Elephas maximus indicus: one gene and its partner. The protein of the gene in region 1 purifies or fractionates together with the protein of each later gene. This does not show direct contact. Links are inferred from orthologs where the notes say so. Each region holds a gene or a part of one and is shown on either strand. Other genes may lie near its edges.

Region 1 (10,075 bases):
CAAGTCGATTCTGACTCATAGCAACCCTAAAGCCACAGCATCCAGAATTCATCTTTTATTAGATAAAATATAAACTAAAAATAATTTTATAGAAAGTCTGACACATAGTAGGCACACAACTTGCCAAAAGAGTGCATAGTTACCTCATTCTTTCCAATAGCTGCGTTATGCTAGGCTTCCTTTGTAAGCGTTTATCAAAATAATTTTATAGAAGAATCATAACCCAAATGGGGAAAACATAAAACAGAATTTCAAATTCTCATGGAATGCAGACTTTCTGGAGCTACAGAGGTTGGATGAACTACCAAAATACCGCCCAGAGATAATCTTTAAACCTTAAACCAAAAATATCCCCTTAAGTCTTCCTAAAACCAAACAGTCTAGCTTAACTAGTAAAAAAAAAATGTCTCCTTGAGCATTGTGCTCTTTTTAAGAACTATCTACATAGGATCAAAGCGACAACAGCAACTCAAAAGATTAGACTGTAGCCTTAGGGGGCAGTGAGTTTATGTTAATGGAGGAGGAACAACTCAGAAAAGGAGTGAAAATGGTTATACAACTCGAAGACTGTAACAAGTGTCACTGAATTGTATACAAAGAAACTGCTGAATTGGTGTACGTGTATATTCTCAACAACAAAGAGTATATCAAAATATATTTAAACATCTCCTCTATTGATAATCATTCCAGTTGTAGGATATTACAAGCAATGATGCAGTGAATATCAGTGTATGTGTGTTTATGTACTCATGCTAGTATTTTTGTAGAATGAATTCCTTGAAGTTGGATGGCTGGATTACAGGGTATACATAGTTTACATCTTGATTAGACAATGCCAGGTTTTTCTACAAAATGTTTTTCTGATTTGTATTCCCGCCATGAAGCATGAGGCTGTTCATTTCCTTAGTCCTTTACTAACATGTTATCTTTCACATTTTTGCTAATCTGTAAGATGAAAATTGGTATCATGCTATTTTAATTTGTATTTATTAGGGAAGTCAGGCATATTTTCATGTTCACTGGCCATTTCTTCTTCTATATATTTCTACTCACATCCTTTGACCATTTTTCTACTAGTTTGTTTGCCTTATTCTTTTGTAGAAGCTTTTCATACATGGATATGAACTCTCTCTACCTTTATGCTGACTGTAAACAGTTTCTCCTTGTCTGCCATTACATTTGATTACGGTGTCTTTATCATAAGCTTAAAATTTTTTATGTAGAAAATATAACAGTATTTTCCTCTATGGCTTCTATTTTTTGTGTCTTTTTTAGAAAGGCCCTTCCTACCCAAAGATCTAAAAAGTACTAGAAAGTCAAATGCACATACCTACATTAAATTTCTAAGGTAATTAGCCAAGAAAAGACATAAAAGTAGCAATCTGAAATGCTGTTTTTGTCATATGCTAAGTTATCATAAATATATTTGGGTATACTTTTTGAATTCTAGTCAGTTCCATTAATTTATTTGCTTATTACTGGACTAATACAACATATAAAAAATTTGTTTTAACATATATTTGGGGGAAATTTGCACTAGAATGTAAGCTTCATGAGGGCCAAACCAAGACTAGCCTTGTACAGGTCTTACTCTTTGGTTCACTGCTGTATTCTCAGTTGCTAGAGTAGTACCTGGCATGTGGTAGGTACTTAATGAATGTATGTTGAAAGAATGAATAAAGGCATGAACCTTGTATATTCCAAGACTCAATTTCCTGACCCTCTGCTTTTTTCCCTGTTACAGTATGGGAACCTCCAATTTCTGACAGGAAGTCATTTCGAAAGAATAAGATGGGCTTCAAACATAGCTCCTGCCCTCCTGGCTAACATAGTAAAACGTAACTGAAACATGATCATCACCAAACATCTGTGTGTAGGGCGCTATGTTAGATGCAATGGTCACAATGATTAATGATGTTCTAGTTGGGAAAGAAAAGGCATTTAACTATCTATAAAATACAATATCTTAAGCACCAAATAGATAACACAGATGATAAGATAATAAAGTCAGAGGACTGGTCTTCCCTGAACCAGTTTTTTAGACTTATAAACAAAGTAGCAATTCCCATCTCCTAGAATAATTAAGGAGCCCTGGTGGCACACTGGTTAAGAGCTCGGCTGCTAGGCTGCTAACCAAAAGGTCAGCAGTTTGTACCTACCAGCCATGCCTTAGAAACCCTATGGGGCAGCTCTCTAGGATCGCTATGAGTCAGAATCAACTTAACAGCGACAGGTTTTTTTTTTTTTTTTTTAAGAATAATTAATATACAGAAGAGAAGAGAGCCACCAAGGACGGCCCTCAAATGTTCTGACGGTAGAGCTAGACATTAAAAACTACTTGGAGAGCTCTTATTATTTGCCATTCATTTTTCTAAAAGTTTTCATATATTAACTAACTTAATCCTCTCAACAATTTTTAAGAGATAAACAAACAAACAAACAGCCACTGCCATCAAGTTGAATTCCGACTCGTAGGGACCCTATAGGACAGAGTAGAACTGCCTTACAGAGTTTCCGAGACTGTAATCTCTACGGAAGCAGACTGCCATATCTTTCTCCCATGGAGCAGCTAGTGGGTTTGAACCACGGACCTTTCAGTTAGCAGCTGAGCGCTTAACCACTGCGCCATGAAGGCACCTATTCTAAGAGATATTATTTTTTCCCTGATTTTAACAATAAGCAGCCTTAACTTTGGAGAGTTAATTAGTTTGCACAAAATCACAATGCTAGGTATGAAGCCAGAGTTCAAACTCAGAAATTCTGGCTCCAGAACCTGAGCACTCAGGTACAGTCTTAAAACCAAGAAAAACAAAACCCATTAGCCGTGTGTTGATTCTGACTAGTAGCAACCCTACAGGACAGGGTGGAACTGCCCCATAGGGTTTCCAAGGAGCACCTGGTGGATTCGAACTGCCGAGCTTTTGGCTCGAGGCCATACCTCTTAACCACTATGCCACCAGGGTTTCCTCTTAACCACTCGTAGGCCTTACAAGTGTAGAAATTTAGACAAGCAGATAGGCTGAAGGAGACATTCATCTATTCATCTAGAACAATAAATCAGGGCTTCAAATTGTTGGAAGCCCTGATGATTTGCATTTCTAACAAGTTCCCAGGCAATGCTAATGCTGCTGGTTAAGGACCAATTTTGAGAACTACTAGTAGAACAGTGGTTCTCAAAATTTATTATACACCTGGGGATCTTGTTCAACTGTAGAGTGTGAGTCAGTATATCTGGGGTGAAGCCCTGGTGGCACAGTGGTTAAGTGCTCTGCTGCTAACCAAAAGATCAGCAGTTTGAATCCACCAGCCGTTCCTTGGAAACCCTATGGGGCGGTTCTACTCCATACTATAGGGTCACTATGAGTGGAAATCCACTCAACAGCAATGGGTTTGGTGGTTTGGTATATCTGGGGTGGAAATGGAGCCCTGGTGGCACAGTGGTTAGGAGCTACAGCTCCTAACCAAAGAATAGGCAGTCTGAATCCATCAGCCTTTCCTTGGAAACCCTATGGAGCAGTTCTACTCTCCTATAGGGTCGCTAGGAGTCAGAATCAACTGGACAGCAAGAGGTTAGGGATGGAAATGCATTTTATCAGCAGGGGTCCAAACCAGAAGGAACCAGTTGGAAGCCCTGCAATAAACTGGCCAATTTGGCTGTGGTGGAAGTAAGGGAGTTCACTTTACATAACTACAATGAAGAATGATCAGCGGTTCCCTATGAGTCGGAATCGACTGGATGGCAGCGGGCTGGGTTTGGTTTGGTTTTGGGAACCATTTGTAAAGTTTCTTTTGGGTGCTTTTCAATTTGGCTCCAAAGCAACACTTCTCCCATCTTTACCGTTAAATTAATAAGCTCTGACAGAAAAAAAACATTGTGGCAATTATTTATTAATTTACGGATGCTATTTTTTTATTACCCTGTTGCCAGACTACCAGCTCCAGCCCCACTCTCGATCCTATAGGAGTCACGTATTTTTATCCCTATAGGATGCCTGTTACTGCATCCACGGATCACTGTGAAGTAAACGAAAGAAGGCAAGTGATCCCAAACGTCTACAGTTACCGTCTCTGAATCCTCTTTCTTCCCTCCGTCCACTTCTCCTCTCCCAGGCCTAACTCCACCAGGCACTTCCTCAGGAACACAGAGGTCCGAGAAGGGCTGCTCAGGTAACGGCGTCGTCTGCCCTCAGGTTCAAGGACCGAGGCTCTGGGGTCCGCGGGCTCATTTACTCAGGGTTCCAGTCCCGCCTTTGGCGCGCCCAGACCTTGGGCAAGACACCAGGCCTTGTGCCCAGATACAGCCCCATCCCGGACCTCAGTTTCCACACAACCGGTTTCCGTCGAGTCCACACAAGTAAGTACTCGGTAAAAGGCCCTTTTAACATTGAGCAAAAAGGGCTGAAGCAGGCCGAGCCTCCGGTTAAGAGCGCCGACATACCTGGTTACTTGCCCCAGGAGCCTGGCTTCCGGGCCTCCCGGTATCCAGGGGTCCTCTCCCCGCCCCCGGGCCAGCCCCGGGCCAGCCAGTCCGTTACCTCAACTTCGCTTCGGGTTCCTCCAGCCCGGCCTTCTCCCACCGCTCGCCTCAGAGGCGCGGCCTTCCCGGGCCAGCGTGCGTCGCAACGCGGGATGGGCTCTGGAGGCGGGACCAGACGCCTCCGAGCCAGGGGGCGGGGCGCCCTTCGCCAGGCAGCCAATCAGCGCGCGAGCGCGCCCGCTGGGGCCGCGCGCGTCGGGCGGAAGGCGGGGCCTGCCGTGGCTGCGCTCGCAGCTGCCGCTGGAGCTACTTGAGGCTGAGGTGGCAGATGGTAGCGAGCCCGGCGGCGGCGGCAAAGTCGCAGGCAGAGGATAATGATGAATGGAGCGGCGGGACACTTGCACCTCGGCAGTCGCGAGCGAGTTCTCAAGTTGGGCGAGACTTTCGAGAAGCAACCGCGCTGCGCCTTCCACACTGTGCGCTGTGAGTGGGTATGACCCGCGGGAAAAAGGAGCCTCCGGGATGGGGGTGTGGGCGCAGAACCCCTCCGAGTTCTGGTCCCACCGTCCCCTGAATCTGCTGGACAGTGGGGGACCCAGCTGCCCTGCCTGGACTCCAGGGGGGCCGGAAGAAGGAGCTGGAGTCCAGCAGGTGTGCATAAACCCACGGAAGAATTTGAGACCAACAGGCAGGAAAGTGAAACTTTGTGGAGAAGGGCTGCGGAGGGGACTGTGAGACGTGACGGGTGGCTGAGGCAGAGGTGGCAAGGCAGATAATAACGTGACAGTTAACAGGGTGGCAAAGAACCGAGCTCTTCTCCATTGTGCCTGGGGAAGGGACTTCCTTGAGGCTGGTGGAGAAATCATCTCTTTTTCTCGCCTCTGGCTGGTCAGGGTCCTTATTTAGTGTGTTCCTGGGAAGAGGTTCTGAACCATCCCAATAATCTGTATTTCCTTGGGACTTCTGATTTCAGTCAGTTATCAAATATTATCAAACTATTGGACAGTGTGTTATTACATTCTTTATTCGGAAGGTATTTACCTCCCTGTGACTTCTACCTTTTGGTTTTCCTGTGTCTTTTGCAACTAGTTTTTAGTCGTTCGCTTTTATGTTGTTGAGGTTGAAAAGGGAACTCCTGCTTTAGTATTTGACTGATGTAGATTAGAGGAAGGAATGTTGCGTATTATGATTTTGTATGTAAAATTTCATTTTTTTGCATAATAACCCTCAGAATTAATTCTAGAGCTGGAAGGAAACTTTGAGATCATTAAATCGTGACCGATCATTTTTCTGTGGCAAATTGCAAAGTAGGTATTTTTTTCACTTCCTTTATTCACCTTTGCCCAGCTTCTAAGTCATTCTGCCCTGGCTCGTCTAGAGACCTTTATGGTTTTCGCTTTGAACTGGTCTGTGTTTCAGCCAAAACTCCTAACAAAAATTTACATTCTCCAAAAATTTACTTACATTGTGACTGTAGGAACTTATTTTTATTTAAGCAAAATATTCTTATTAAAGGTTTTTTTAAGAAAAATTATTTTGCTGTGTATAGTCTCAGTAACAACAACAAAATAAATAAAATTTAAAAGAAAAATTAACATCCAATTGGTAGAATAAGCGGGGGAGATGTTCATGAACAGAAGATCTTCAACGGTGCCGTCGTTTATTCTTCTTTACCTTACTCTCTGGTCCAAAGCTTCTCGCAATGAAACAGCGGGTAGTGCTGACTGCAGTTCCTCTGCCTCTTTAATCTCATTTTCCAAAAGTATGATATGGTTCTTACCTGGTTTCTCCATGTCTTTCTTTCAAGCAGTGTCTCCCCTCTCCTTTTCTCTTTCTTCTCAGGTATGTTGTAGTCTTTATACACTATAGGCTGTTGTCCATAGTATTAATTTTTCAAATTACTAAGTTTAAGATTATAAAAATTTGCTCAAGAATATTTGTTCCCATAACTTGGGTATATACTCTCTTTTTAAGGACATGAATCACAAATATAAGTAAATAAAAAATAATCTTTGAAAAGCACCGTTGCAAGTGCTCTAAAGCCTTTCATTTATAAAGGTTCACAAAATGCTGGAATTCTGCCTTCAGTGTAAGAGAATAAGTGAAATAGGTCAATGATCCAGCTGCAGGAATGAAAATAAAACAGCAACAATAGCACCCACAAAAAAAAAAAAACCCAGATATTTGAGTATCAGCTTAGTCCAGTAGAAGCCATTAGAACGGTTTTCAGCCCTCATTTTTTTCTTATTGTTGAAGTAGGCATAGCAATTGCACATAATCTTTTTGTAGTTGTTGTTAGGTGCAGCCGAGTCCGTTCCAACTCATAGTGACAGTGACCCTGTTCGCAACAGAACAAAACACTGCCCGGTCCTTCCAAGACAGATTTGTTCGTTCTTTTGGCAGTCAGTGATATATTCAATATTTTACGTCAATGCCACAATTCAAAGGCATCAATTCTTCTATGGCCTTCTTTATTCATTGTCCAGCTTTCAGATGCGTATGAGGTGATTGAAAATACCATGGCTTGGGTCAGGCACACCTTAGTCTTCAAGGTGACATCTTTGTTCTTCAACACTTTAAAGAGGTCCTTTGCAGCAGATTTACCCAATGCAATGCATCTTTTGATTTCTTGACTGCTGCTTCTATGGCTGTTGATTGTAGATCCAAGTAACGTGAAATCCTTGACAACTTCAGTCTTTTCTCTGCTTATCATGATACTGCTTATTGGTCCAGTTGTGAGGATTTTTGTTTTCTTTATGTTGAGGTGCAATCCATACTGAAGGCTGTGGTCTCTGATCTTCATTAGTAAGTGCTTCAAGTCCTCTTCACTTTCAGCAAGGAAGGTTGTGTCATCTGCATAACACAGGTTGTTAATGAGTCTTCTTCCAATCCTGATGCCCCGTTCTTCATACAGTCCAGTTTCTCAGATTATTTGCTCAGCATACAGATTGAATAGGTTTGGTGAAAGGATACAACCCTGACACACACCTTTGCTGACTTTAAACCAAACAATATCCCCTTGTTCTGACTGAACGACAGCCTCTTGATCTATGTAAAGGTTCCTAATGAGCACAATTAAGTGTTCAGGAATTCCCGTTCTCCGCAATATTATCCATAATTTGATATGATCTACACAGTCGAATGCCTTTGCATGGTCAATAAAATACAGGTAAACATCTTTCTGGTATTCTCTGCTTTCAGCCAGGACCCATCTGACATCAGCAACGATATCCCTGGTTCCATGTCCTCTTCTGAAACTGGCCTGAATTTCTGGCAGTTCCCTGTTGATATATTGCTGCAGCCATTTTTGAATGATCTTCAGCAAAATTTTGCTTGCGTGCGATATTAATGATATTGTTCTGTAATTTCCACATTCAGTTGGATCATCTTTCTTGGGAATAGGCATAAATATGGATCTCTTCTACTCGGTTGGCCAGGAAGCTGTCTTCCATATTTCTTGGCATAGACGAGTGAGTACCTCCAGCACTGCATCTGTTTGTTGAAACATCTCAGTTGATATTCCGTCAATTCCTGGAGCTTTGTTTTTCGCCAATGCCTTCAGACAGCTTGTACTTCTTCCTTTAGTACCATCGATTCCTGGTCATATGCTACCTCTTGAAATGGCTGAACCTCAAATAATTCTTTCTGGTATAATGACCTTGTGTATTCCTTCCATCTTTTGATGCTTTCTGTGTCATTTAATATTTTCCCCATAGAATCCTTCACTATTGTAACTTAAGACTTGAATTTTTTCCTCAGTTCTTTCAGTTTGAGAAATGCCAAGTGTGTTCTTCCCTTTTGGTTTTCTGTCTCCAGCTGTTTGCACATGTCGTCACAATAGTTTGTCTTCTCGCGCTGCCCTTTGAAATCTTGAGTTCTTTTCCTTGATCGTTTCTTCCTTTTGCTTTAGCTGCTCGACACTTGTGAGCAAGTTTCAGAGTCTCCTCTGCCATCCATTTTGGTCTTTTCTTTCATTCCTGTCTTTTCAGTGACCTCTTGCTTTCTTCATGTATGATGTCCTTGATGTCATTCCACAACTCGTCTGGTCTTCAGTCACTAGTGTTCAATGCATCAAATCTATTCTTGAGATGGTCTCTAAATTTGGGGGGGATATACTCAAGGTCATATTTTGGGTCTCGTGGACTTGCTCTGATTTTCTTCAGTTTCAGCTTGAACTTGCATATGAGCAATTGATGGTCGGTTCCACAGTCGGCCCCTGGCCTTGTTCTGACTGATGACATTGAGCTTTTCCATTGTCTCTTTCCACAGATATAGTCAATTTGATTCCTGTGTGTTCCATCTGGCAAAGTCCATGTGTATAGCTTCCATTGCTGTTGGTGAAAGAAGGTATTTGCCATGAAGAAGTTGTTGGTCTTGCAGAATTCTATCATTGGATCTCCAGCATTGTTTCTGTCACCAAGGCCATATTTTCCAATTACCAATGCTTCTTCTTTGTTTCTAACTTCCACATTCCAATCACCAGTAATTATCAATGCATCCTGCTTGCACGTTCAATCAATTTCAGACTGCAGAAGCTGATAAAAATCTTCAATTTCTTCATCTTTGGTCTTAGTGGTTGGTGTGTAAATTTGAGTAATAGTCGTACTAACTGGTCTTCCTTGTAGGCGTATGGATATTATCCTGTTACTGACAGTGTTGTGACAGCGTTGTACTTCAGGATAGGTCTTGAAATGTTCTTTTTGATGATGAAAGCAATGCCATTCCTTTTTGAGTTGTCATTCCCAGCATAGTAGACTATATGATCGTCTGATTCACAATGGCCAATACCAGCCCATTTCTGCTCATTAATGCCTAGGATATCGATGTTTATGCGTTCCATTTCGTTTTTGACAATTTCCGATTTTCCTAGATTCATACTTTGTACATTCCAGGTTCCGATTACTAATGGATGTTTGCAGCTGTTTCTTCTCATTTTGAGTCATGCCACATCAACAAATGAAGGTCCCGAAAGCTTTACTCCATCCACGTCATTAAGGTCGACTCTACTTTGAGGAGGCAGCTCTTCCCCAGTCACCTTTTGAGTGCCTTCCAACCTGGGGGGCTCATCTTCCAGCACTATATCAGACAGTGTTCCGCTGCTATTCATAAGGTTTTCCCTGGCTAATTCTTTTCAGAAGTAGACTGTTGGGTCCTTCTTCCTAATCTGTCTTGGTCTGGAAGCTCAGCTGAAACCTGTCCTCCATGGGCGACCCTGCTGGTATCTGAATACCGGTGGCATAGCTTCTAGCATCACAGCAACACACAAGCCCCCACAGTATGACAAACTGACAGACACGTGGGAGGACCAAAATTCTAAGAAATATTAAAGGGAAGTCTCCAGTTAGAAAACCAAGAACATCAGACAACAATCCAAAACTAGGATGCAAGACAGAGCAACCAGATACCAACCCAGATAGGGAATTCTCAAAAACAAGTCAAAGCTAAAAGATTAAAAATAGGAAACCAGAGATGTCAATATGTAAATAACAACAACATGAAAACAAAAAAGAGGGAATAAACAGTGTAGCCATAGAACTTCCATAGGGCGAGGAAGTTAAGGCAATATCAAGAAATAAAAGACTGGTTTAAACTTAAAAA
Region 2 (10,055 bases), on another chromosome or scaffold:
CCAGTTGGTACAACTGAAAGCAGTGCATTTCGTTGTTCATTTTATGTAGAGGGTGAGGTGGTCTGAGGTAAAAATATTTACCGACTCCTGGGTTTGCCTTTCTTGACTGCAGTGCATCTGCCAACATTCACAATTACAGGAATTATAGCATTCCTGATCAACATTATCTCACTGTTGATATTGTTGTATCAAGTTCATTCCAACCCATGTTGACACCAAGTGTGCAGAGTAGGACTGTGCTCTCTGGGTTTCCAAGGCTGTGATATTTTGGAAGCAGATGACCAGGCCTGTCTCTGAGCGTCTGGGTAGGTTCAAACTGCCAGCCTTTCAGCTAATAGGATAGCACTTAGCCATTTGTACCACATAGGAACTTATTTTATCTCAACTAAGGAACCCATTTTCAGGGAAAAATAAAAAAGTATGACAATATATACATGATCATGGAATCCATAGAAACTGCCATATCCCTCATCACCCAGAAGTATCCAGCCTTATAAAATGGTGGGATGGTCTGTTACTGGCTTAGCTAATGTGCCTGCCTGCTTAGGACAACACCCTGTAGAAATGGAGTGTTGTCTTACAGGATGTGGTAAATGTACTGAACCAGCCAATAAAGAGTGCCCTCAACAGCTAGAAGACATGGCTCCAGAAACCCAGAGGTGGAAGCAGAATTGGCCCATCTTACCATCACCGTCAAGTGACCCACTCATAGAATTTGTTTCCGGCCTCTCAAATTTGGGCTTTACTAAATCAGAATAACTGGTTCCTCAGGGATAGTATAGGGAATGCTTCTACCATGATACACAATATGGATTTCCCTGAACTTGAAATTCTCACTAACACATGGTTACTTTGGGCTTTTTTTGGTGGTAAACTAGCTAGCAAAGAAAGGAATTACTATAATGATGGGAGTAATCAACTGAGATCAGCAAAAGGAGCCTAGGATTTTTGCTACACAGTAACAGTAGACAGTACCGTATCTGGTATCCAAGAAATTCACTGGGGCTTATCTTGGTGTTTTGTACTCAAGGATAAGTTGAAGGCAACTGCAGCAACCATGGCCCAACCAGAGTAAGGAAAATAAAGATAAAGGTCTGGATTACCTCACCAGGGAAGCAACCTAGATTAGTTGATATGCTGGCCAAGGGTGAGGGGAAGTTAGGATGGATAGAGGAGGAGAGAGTTAAAAAATGTACATCTGCCCTTGGCATCAGCATAGCAGCAGGGACTGAAGCCTGTATTAACTCTCTTGTATTAAGTCCTTGCAGGAATCGTGGCTGGCCACCACTCTGAAGTAGCCTCTGTGAGAGAATAGACTTAATGGAGGGCACAAGCAGATCTGAATGGTGTAAGAAATGGCCTGAAATGGACACCCTCTGTGCACTACTTCAAATCTCTTCAGTCTCTTATTTCAACCACTGCTCCAGCTACCTGTTCTGAGCAAGGTTTGATGAGCTTTCAGCAAGTGTAACGTGACAGCACCTCTCCTCTCGCTTCCTGCCCTAGGACTTCTCTGATGTGGAAGCCAGTGTGACATTCACAATTGTGCATTTTGGAAGTGTGGTGTAGTTGATGACCAGGAGCATTATCCTTTGATAAAGGAGTACCAGAGCCAACAGGTAAAACCTTCTTCTATTTTTTCCCCCATTTGGACAGTTCAGAGACTCATTTCACAAGACTTCATAGAAGGTCATACAGGATCAAGAAAACATTCCAACATGCTGTTAGCCAACTCAATAACACATCCTTATGTTGACTTTACTCATTCTTGTTTCACGTACCCTCCTCCTTCCCTCATTCGTGCTCTCTGGGTTCATACCCCCAAATAAACTACTAACACATAAGTTCTTGTTTTGGCCTCTACTTTTGGAGGAAGAGGAGATACAAGGCTTTCATTTTTGTACACATTAAGTGTCAGATTTTATTAGTCCAAAAAAACAAACTCATTGCTGTCAAGTCAATTCCAACTCATGGTGACCCCATGTGTTACACAAGAGAACTGTTCCACAGGGTCTTCTTGGCTGTAATCTTTACAGAAGCAGATCACCAGGCCTTTCTTCTCAGGTGCAACCCTTAGGTTAGCAGCTGATTGCAAGCCACTTGTACCACCCAGGTATGCAGTGAGCCTGAGGCACTTACTGGATATCTAAATGGAAATGTCAGGGGGGCAGTTGGATATACAAATCCGGAATTCAGGAAAGAAGTTCAGACTACATAAATAAATGTGAAATACAATTCATTTCCCTGCTTTGAGAGGGCTGTAACCATACAGGTAAACAAAAGATAGAAAATAGAACGAAGTAACACATGCAATTGTCACATAAAGAGTGTCCACAGTAAGTGTTTGGAGATTGACTAAGCAGGGACAGAGGCGTTTTTATACAGAAAGGACTCGATAGAGATCACACTCTTGAAACGGAAGTCATTCCATGAAAGTGAAAAGATTCCAAGCAGCATTGATTAGACCATATTATTTTCAATAACAAACGGATCTCTACAATTTCTGTGGTTTTTCCCACCAAATAGTATCTTCGGATAAATAATGAAAGACATTTTGCACAGCTGATTTGTCACTTTCTCAGTGAATCCGTCCCTGGCAGAATGAATTACTACCTCTTTTGCATATCTACAATGTTATGAATTGAATCGTGTCCCCCAAAATTGTGTTATAAACCCTAATTCCAGAACACTTAATTGTGCTCATGAGCAACCTGTACATAGACCAAGAGGCAGTCATTCCAACAGAACAAGGGGATAGAGTGTGGTTTAAAGCCAGGAAAACTGTGTATCAGGGTTGTATCCTTTCACCATACTATTTAATCTGTATGCTGGGCAAATAATCTGAGAAACTGGACTATATGAAGAACTTGGCATCAGGATTGGAGGAAGACTCATTAACAACCTGCAATATGCAGATGACACAACCTTGTTTGCTGAAAGTGAGGAAAACTGAAGCACTTACTGGTGAAGATCAAAGACCACAGCCTTCAGCATGGATTACACCTCAACATAAAACAAAAATTTTCACAACTGAACCAATAAGCAACATCAAGATAAATGCAGAAAAGATTGAAGCTGGCAAGGATTTCATTTTACTTGGATCCACAATCAATGCCCATGGAAGCAGCAGTCAAGAAATCAAACAATGCATTGCATTGGGCAAATCTGCTGTAAAAGATTTCTTTAAAGTGCTATAAAGCAAAGATGTCACTTTGAGGACTAAGGTGCACCTGACCCAAGCCATGGTATTTTCAATTGCCTCATGTGGAAGACGGGAGAAAAATTGATGCCTTTGAATTATGGCATTAGTGAAGAATACTGAATATACCATGAACTGCCAGAAGAATGAACAAAATCTGTCTTAGAAGTACAGCCAGAATGCTCCTTAGAAAGGAGGATGGCAAGCCTTCTTCTCGTGTACTTTGGACATGTTATCAGGAGGGTCTAGTCCCTTGAGAAAGACATCATATTTGGTAAAGCAGAAGGTCTGCAAAAAAACAGGAAGACCTTCAATGAGATGGATTGACACAGTGGCTGCAACAATGGTCTCAAACATAGCAAAGATTGGAGGGTGTCACAGAACTGGGCACTGTTTCCTCCTGTTGTGCATGGGGTCGCTAGGCATTGGAACCAGCTCAAAATCACCTAACAGCAAGAAACTAAGACACACGGTATTTCATCTCTTTTTTCTTCCTTTGTTGTTGGGTTTATCTCACTAGGGTACAATTTATGCATCTATTTGATAGGGTCACTATAAGTCAGAATCGAATCAACGGCAACGGGTTTTTAAGGGTTTTTCTCCAATGATAGTATGACCCCCTTGTGGGTGGGATCCCTATCTTTGTGTCTCTAGCACCTAACACAGTGCCGAAGATTGATTATTAAATAAACGAACACATGCATGAATGGATTTCTACAGCAACTTGCAACGACATGCTCCTTTGAACTTCCAGCACACTTATCTGACCTGTACCTCTCTTCAGTCACTTATTTTGTATCCTCTTTTTTATATTTATTTATATCTACATCTTGTCTGTCCTACCATACTCTGAACTCCTTCAGGGCAGGATTCATGTCCGAATCACCTCTGTACCTGGTATCAACCTGTCTGGTTTAAAACAGGTGCCAGGGATATGGAATCAATGAATCATTTGCCTTCCCACCAGCAACACTGGCAACACCCGTGCTTCTCAAATGTAAATGTGCGTAGGAGTCATCCCCTTAAGATGAAGATTCCGATTCAGTACATTTGAAGTGGGCCAAAGAGGCTGCTTTTTCTAAAAAGTTCCCAAATGGTACCCATGCAGCAGGTCCGCGGACCGTACTTTGAGTAGCAAAGTCATCGAAGCAATGATTCTCGCCCTTAAAGGTGTATTTAGAATAATCTGGGAGCTATCGAAAGTGCTAGTATCTGGGTCGCATCTCCAGAGTTTTAACTCATTTAAACTCTCCACGCTTTTAAGTAGCCAGGAACAAGACTTAAGCATCACAAACGCAAAAAATAAAACACTTCAGCTGATACCCTCTTAAACGAATTGCTGAAACATCTGAGTAAATAATTCTTCTCAAAAGTAATACATCGGGCGGCACCAAAGCCTGCCGTTTCAAGTCAGCGCGCGGTAGCGGCCGGGTCCCTGACCCTCCTTGGCGCAACTCCTCCGGCGAAGCCCCGCCCCGCCGCGCCCTGCCCCGCCGCGCCCCACCCCACCGGTGGCGCCACGCCCCTGCGTCTATTGGCCACTCCCTTTTTCCCTCCGTTTTTTCCTCCTCTACAGGGTTGACTTCCGGCTCGGAGCTTTGTCACGTGCCCGGATATGGGAAGTGGTAGGGAAACGGCTGCTTCCCGTTCACCGCTTAATTGAGGGGAGCTTTCCAGTACTGGTCGCCGCCTTGCCGCGTGCTGTCTCGGTCTTGGAGGGCCCGCCTCGGCGCAGCCGGGCTCGGTACTGTCCTGCGGTAAGCCTTCGGTCGCGGCTGCCCCGTAGTCCCGGCGGCAGGCAGACGATCGGGCGGGCGCCAGGGCCTGAGGCGGCACCTCTTTCCCACTGCTGGTTCGGCGACCGGGGTCAGGGCACAGCTCCCTCCGACGACAGTCCCTCCTTCTTTTCCCGGCGTCGCTGTGTAGGGCGCAAAGTCTGGGCCGAGCTTCCCCCACTTGGCCTGGGGTCTGGGAGAAAGTGGAGCAGAGAAGGCAATCTTCACACATCCGTTTCCGGCTCCGCCTTTGGGGACCAGATTTCATTTTTATCCTTGATTGTTCGAGCTTTGGAGTGGACGGGAAAGGAGGGTGTGGCAGTGTCTCCCCGCTCTCTCTTTTTTTTTTTCTCCCTAAGTCTATATTTTCTTCTAAGTTTCTTAAGTACATTCCTGTCTTGGTATGCCGTTCTCTTCACTGCATGACGGCACTCCACGCGCTAAAGTGTGTCGACAGCATGCGGGGCTCCACCCACATGGACGCTCACTGACAAGCTGTCACCACAAGCCCACCACAGAGTGGAATGGTCCAACTGAATTTAAGGAAACAAGAACGAAAACACAGAGTATGCAGTGGCTGGCTGCCTCTGGAACATAGTCAGACACAGGTTCTTAGAGCTGGAAAATAATTTTAGAGAACCTGTAATGATTTATTTACTGCCTTCCAGAAAGTATTGTAAAGTGGAGAGTAGGTTACTTAGCTCTTAGAATGTAAATGCCACGAAGACAGGGGCGTCTTCGTGTCTTCATGAACGTGTTTATCACGTTCAATAGAGAGATACCTGGCCCTTCATAGGCATCAGTATTTGCTGACCGAATGAGGGGCCCCACAGTGCTTTTCATTTATGTCTAACATCTTTATGAGGTATACCCAATCCTCTCTTGTTTTACCATTTACCATGCATTGAGTCCTTGCTTTTGGCCAAAGAGGGATCATGTGGTAAATGTTGGCCACTATTAGTCATTCATTTGACCAGTTTTTACTAATCAATTTAGATGGCTCAAGAGGTGTTTGTCGAGTACCTACTATGAATTCAAAACACTTTGATAGAGTGTGTGTTTGTCTCCCTCTCTCTCCCCCTCCTTTTTTTTATTTTTTCTTTAAAAGAGTTCTCCAGATCCAGGAGCGTATGATGTCATGAACCAATTAGACAGCCAGTGCTTGGTTGTTTATTAAGTGCAACTGAAATTGAGAGTAGAGATCAATTTGTACTTAAGATCCTTACTGAGTCAACATCATAAAAACCCTGAAGTGTAATTACATTCCCTGTATGGAAAAGCACCTAAGTGAAGATTTAAAGCCTGAAACTTGGAGTAGGAGGTTCGGATATAGAAGCATTAGGAAAATCTTGAATGAGGGCATGGTGTGATGAAGCTGTGTTTTAACATTATCTGCTTATTGGAGTTTTGGGGGGTTATGGAAGTTTGCAAAGAGATGGCCTGATGCTATAGTATTTAAATATCATGGATGATGTGAGTCTGGTTTAGTGTGGTGAGAATGGGAACAGAAAGGAAGGCATGAATTATGTGTGTCGGGGGGGGGAGGTAACAAAATGTGGTGACAGATGTTGAGAGTGGAGGAGAGGAATCAAATAGGGCAGATTTTAAACCTGGGCATTTGCGTACAGGTGTGAGAGTTGGAAAGAGGGAACTTTTTGGAAGCCGTAGTTGTTAAATTATTTAGTGCTATCATTTTAGTTGATTTAAGTATTTCTTAAATGCTTACTAAGTGCCCTTTGCCAAGTTCTAGGAATACAGAGACGAATATGACATGATCCTTACCTATAAAGAGCTACTTTTAATGGAGAAGAGAAGAGAATGTAGCTAGCTGGAAAATACAGTTGGTAAGTGCTGTGCTAGTGTAGTAGAGAGTTAGGGAAGTAGAAGAGGAATTTTTTTGGGGTGGTGGTGGTGGTAATAGTCTAGCATGATCTTAAGAGGGGAGTTAGAATTTCCTAAGGAGAAAAGAAAAAGATATTGCATGAGCATAAGCCCAGATATAGAAAAGTAAACTGGCCAGTGTTCGACGTGGTGTAGGGTGGAGTAGAGCTTGTGAGCAAGTGTTTAGGCCCTGGAACATATTAAGGGATTAGTAATGGGCATTTTGTAATAGGCGAAAAAGAGGTTAGGATGGGTGAAGATGTAGAAAGATGGAGACAAAAGCAATTGGGGAGAATTATACTTCATGGCCTCTATATTATCTGCAAGTCAGTGATACAGTCATCTGTGGAGAGTGAGGGGGCCCACACCATTTGGGGTCTAAATCAGAAATAGTAAAGATTTGTGACAACAGTGATGGCAGATGGGAAAAGGAAGCATTAAAGGAAGTGTAAGTGTTAAAGAATTGCCGAGCAGCATTGAAAGTCCAGGTTTGGATGAATTTCGATATTTAAAATGCAGTCAGTGAGCACAGATATGTGGCTTTCTTAAGTGGCCTATATTGTTGTTGTTAGGTGCCATTGAGTCGATTCCAACTCACGGCAACCCTGTGTACAACAGAATGAAACCCTGCCAGGTCCTGTGCTATCCTGACTGTTGTTGCTATGCTTGTGCCCATTGTTGCAACCACTGTGTCAGTCCATCTTGTTGAGGGTCTTCCTCTTTTTCACTGACCCCCTACTTTACCAAGCATGATGCCCTTCTCCAGTGACTGATCTGTCCTGATAACATGTCTGAAGTATGTGAGATGTGGTCTCGCCATCCTTACTTCTAAGGAGCATTCTGGTTGTACTTCTTCCAAGACAGATTTGTTTGTTCTTTTGGCAGCCCATGGTGTATTCAGTATTCTTCGCCAACAGCACAATTCAAAGGTGCCAGTTTTTCTTCGGTCTTCCTTATTCATTGTCCAGCATTATGCGTATGAAGCAATTGAAAACACCATGGCTTGGGTCAGGCATACCTTAGTCCTAAAGGTGACATCTTTGCTCTTCAACGCTTTAAAGAAACCTGTTGCAGACAATTTGCCCAATGCAATGTGTCTTTTGATTTCTTGACTGCTGCTTTCATAGGTGTTGATTGTGGATTCAAGTGAAATGAAATCCTTGACAACTTCAATCCTTTCTCCGTTCATTATGGTGTTGCTTATTGGGCCAATTGTGAGGATTTTTGTTTTCTTTATGTTCAGGTGTAATCCATACTAAAGGCTGTGGTCTTTCATCTTCAGTAAGTGCTTCAAGTCCTCTTCACTTTCAGCAAGCAAGGTTGTGTCAATCTGCATATCAGTTGTTAGTGAGTTTTCCTCCAACGCTGATGCCCCGTTCTTCTTCATATAGTCCAGCTTCTTGGATTATTTGCCCAGCATACAGATTGAATAGGTATGGTGAAAGGATACAACTCTGATGCACACCTTTCCTGACTTTAAACCATGTAGTATCCCCTTGTTCTCTTGATCCATGTACAGATTCCTCATGAGCACAATTAAGTGTTCTGAAATTCCCATTCTTTGCAATGTTATGCATAATTTGTTATGATCCACATGGTTGAATGCCTTAGCATAGTCAATAAAACACAGGTAAACATCTTTATGGTGTTCTCTGCTTTCATCCAGGATCCATCTGACATCAACAGTGATATCCCTGGTTCCATGTCCTCTTTTGAATCCACCTCGAATTTCTGGCAGTTCCCTGTTGATATACTGCTGCAGCTGCTTTTGAATGATCTTCAGCAAAACTTTGCTTGCATGTGATACTAATGATACTGTTTGATAATATCAGTGACCTATGGTAACCCAATAAAAGTAGAGAAAAAATATGGTTTACGGAGATGGGTTAACTAGGGCGAACTGGTCAACAGAGTAGGATAATTGAAGGGGATAGTGTGGGTGTAGGAAATGACCACTGCCTCCAGGCTAGGTGGGAAAAGAAATTAAGCTAGAAGGGGCTAGACAGACTAAGAGAACAGGGAGGAAGGGGAAGTTAAAAGAGGTCGAAATAGGTTAAAGAGGGATGGAAGAGGAAGAATGAGTGATTTTTGTGAGGAGCGATTTTTGTAATAAGCGCAGAGATAAACATTTCACAGATTGAGTAAAATATAGCAAAGATGTTACAAAAGTATCAAATGTGTTATAAAAATTCATTGTAAGTCATTTTTAAAAAACTCACGATTCATTTTCCAGTAGAAACATTGTTACATTGTTATATGTTGAAATTAGTTTCCTAGGCAAGCTCACTTATGAAATACTGCACATTGGCATTGAAAAATAATTATATGTACACATATACAGATATATACCACAAAAGTAAAATTAAAGAGTTTTTTTTTTTTTTATGTTGGTGTTTGAAAAAAGCTTTTGAGTTGGAGGAGAAAAAAAGATTAAAAAAAATTTTCTAACAGCTTTATTGAGACGTAATTCACATATCATAAAATTTACCGTTTTAAAAAAGTATACAATTCATTGATTTTTTTAGTCTATTCACAAGGTTGTACAACTATCTATAATTCGAGGACATTCTTATAACCCCCAAAAGGAATCTGATATATTAGCAGCCACTCCCCCTCCCCTCCTTTTCCAGTCCCCTGGCAAGCACTAATTTATTTTCTGTCCTAATGGATTTACCTATTCTGGACATTTCATGTAAATGGAATCGTACAGTGCCTGGTCTTTGTGACTGGCTTTTTTCAATTAGTCTAATGTTTTCAGGATTCATCCATGTCGTAGCATGTGTCAGTACTTCATTTCTTTGTTTATGGCTGAATAATATTCCATTATATGGACATCACAGGAGAAAGATGTGACAGTCTACTTCTGTAAAGATTTACAGCTTTGGAAACCCTATTGGGCAGTTCTACTCTGTCATATAGAGTCGCTGTAAGTAGGAACCGACTCGATGGGTATGAGTATATGGATATATCACATTTTGTTTATCTCTTCATCAGCTGATGGACATTTGGGTTGCTTTCACCTTTGGACTGTTGTGAATGATGGTTCTATGGACATTCATGTACAAATTTTTGTATGAACATATATTTTTAACTCTCTTGGGTATATACCTAGGAATGGAATTGCTAGGTCATATAGTAAATCTGTGTTTAACTTTTTGAGGGATCATCAAACTGTTTTCCAAAGTGGTTTCATCATTTTA

The links. The genes of interacting proteins can lie anywhere in the genome.
Region 2: the proteins of IQCB1 (region 1) and EXOC1 purify together in Homo sapiens (affinity purification with mass spectrometry; 3 studies listed by BioGRID and IntAct, counting the BioPlex papers as one, with this or other methods). This does not show direct contact. The link is inferred for Elephas maximus indicus from reciprocal best matches to the Homo sapiens genes IQCB1 and EXOC1.

Annotation. Positions count from the first base shown.
Region 1 is NC_064819.1:12,351,980-12,362,054, forward strand, and holds the start of IQCB1 (IQ calmodulin-binding motif-containing protein 1), read right to left. Parts: upstream 4,671-10,075; 5' UTR 4,439-4,670; intron 1-4,438. Other genes in the region: EAF2 (ELL-associated factor 2), read left to right, coding at 4,852-4,960. UniProt on the Homo sapiens protein: Involved in ciliogenesis. The function in an early step in cilia formation depends on its association with CEP290/NPHP6.
Region 2 is NC_064823.1:105,278,605-105,288,659, reverse strand, and holds the start of EXOC1 (exocyst complex component 1), read left to right. Parts: upstream 1-4,866; 5' UTR 4,867-4,956; intron 4,957-10,055.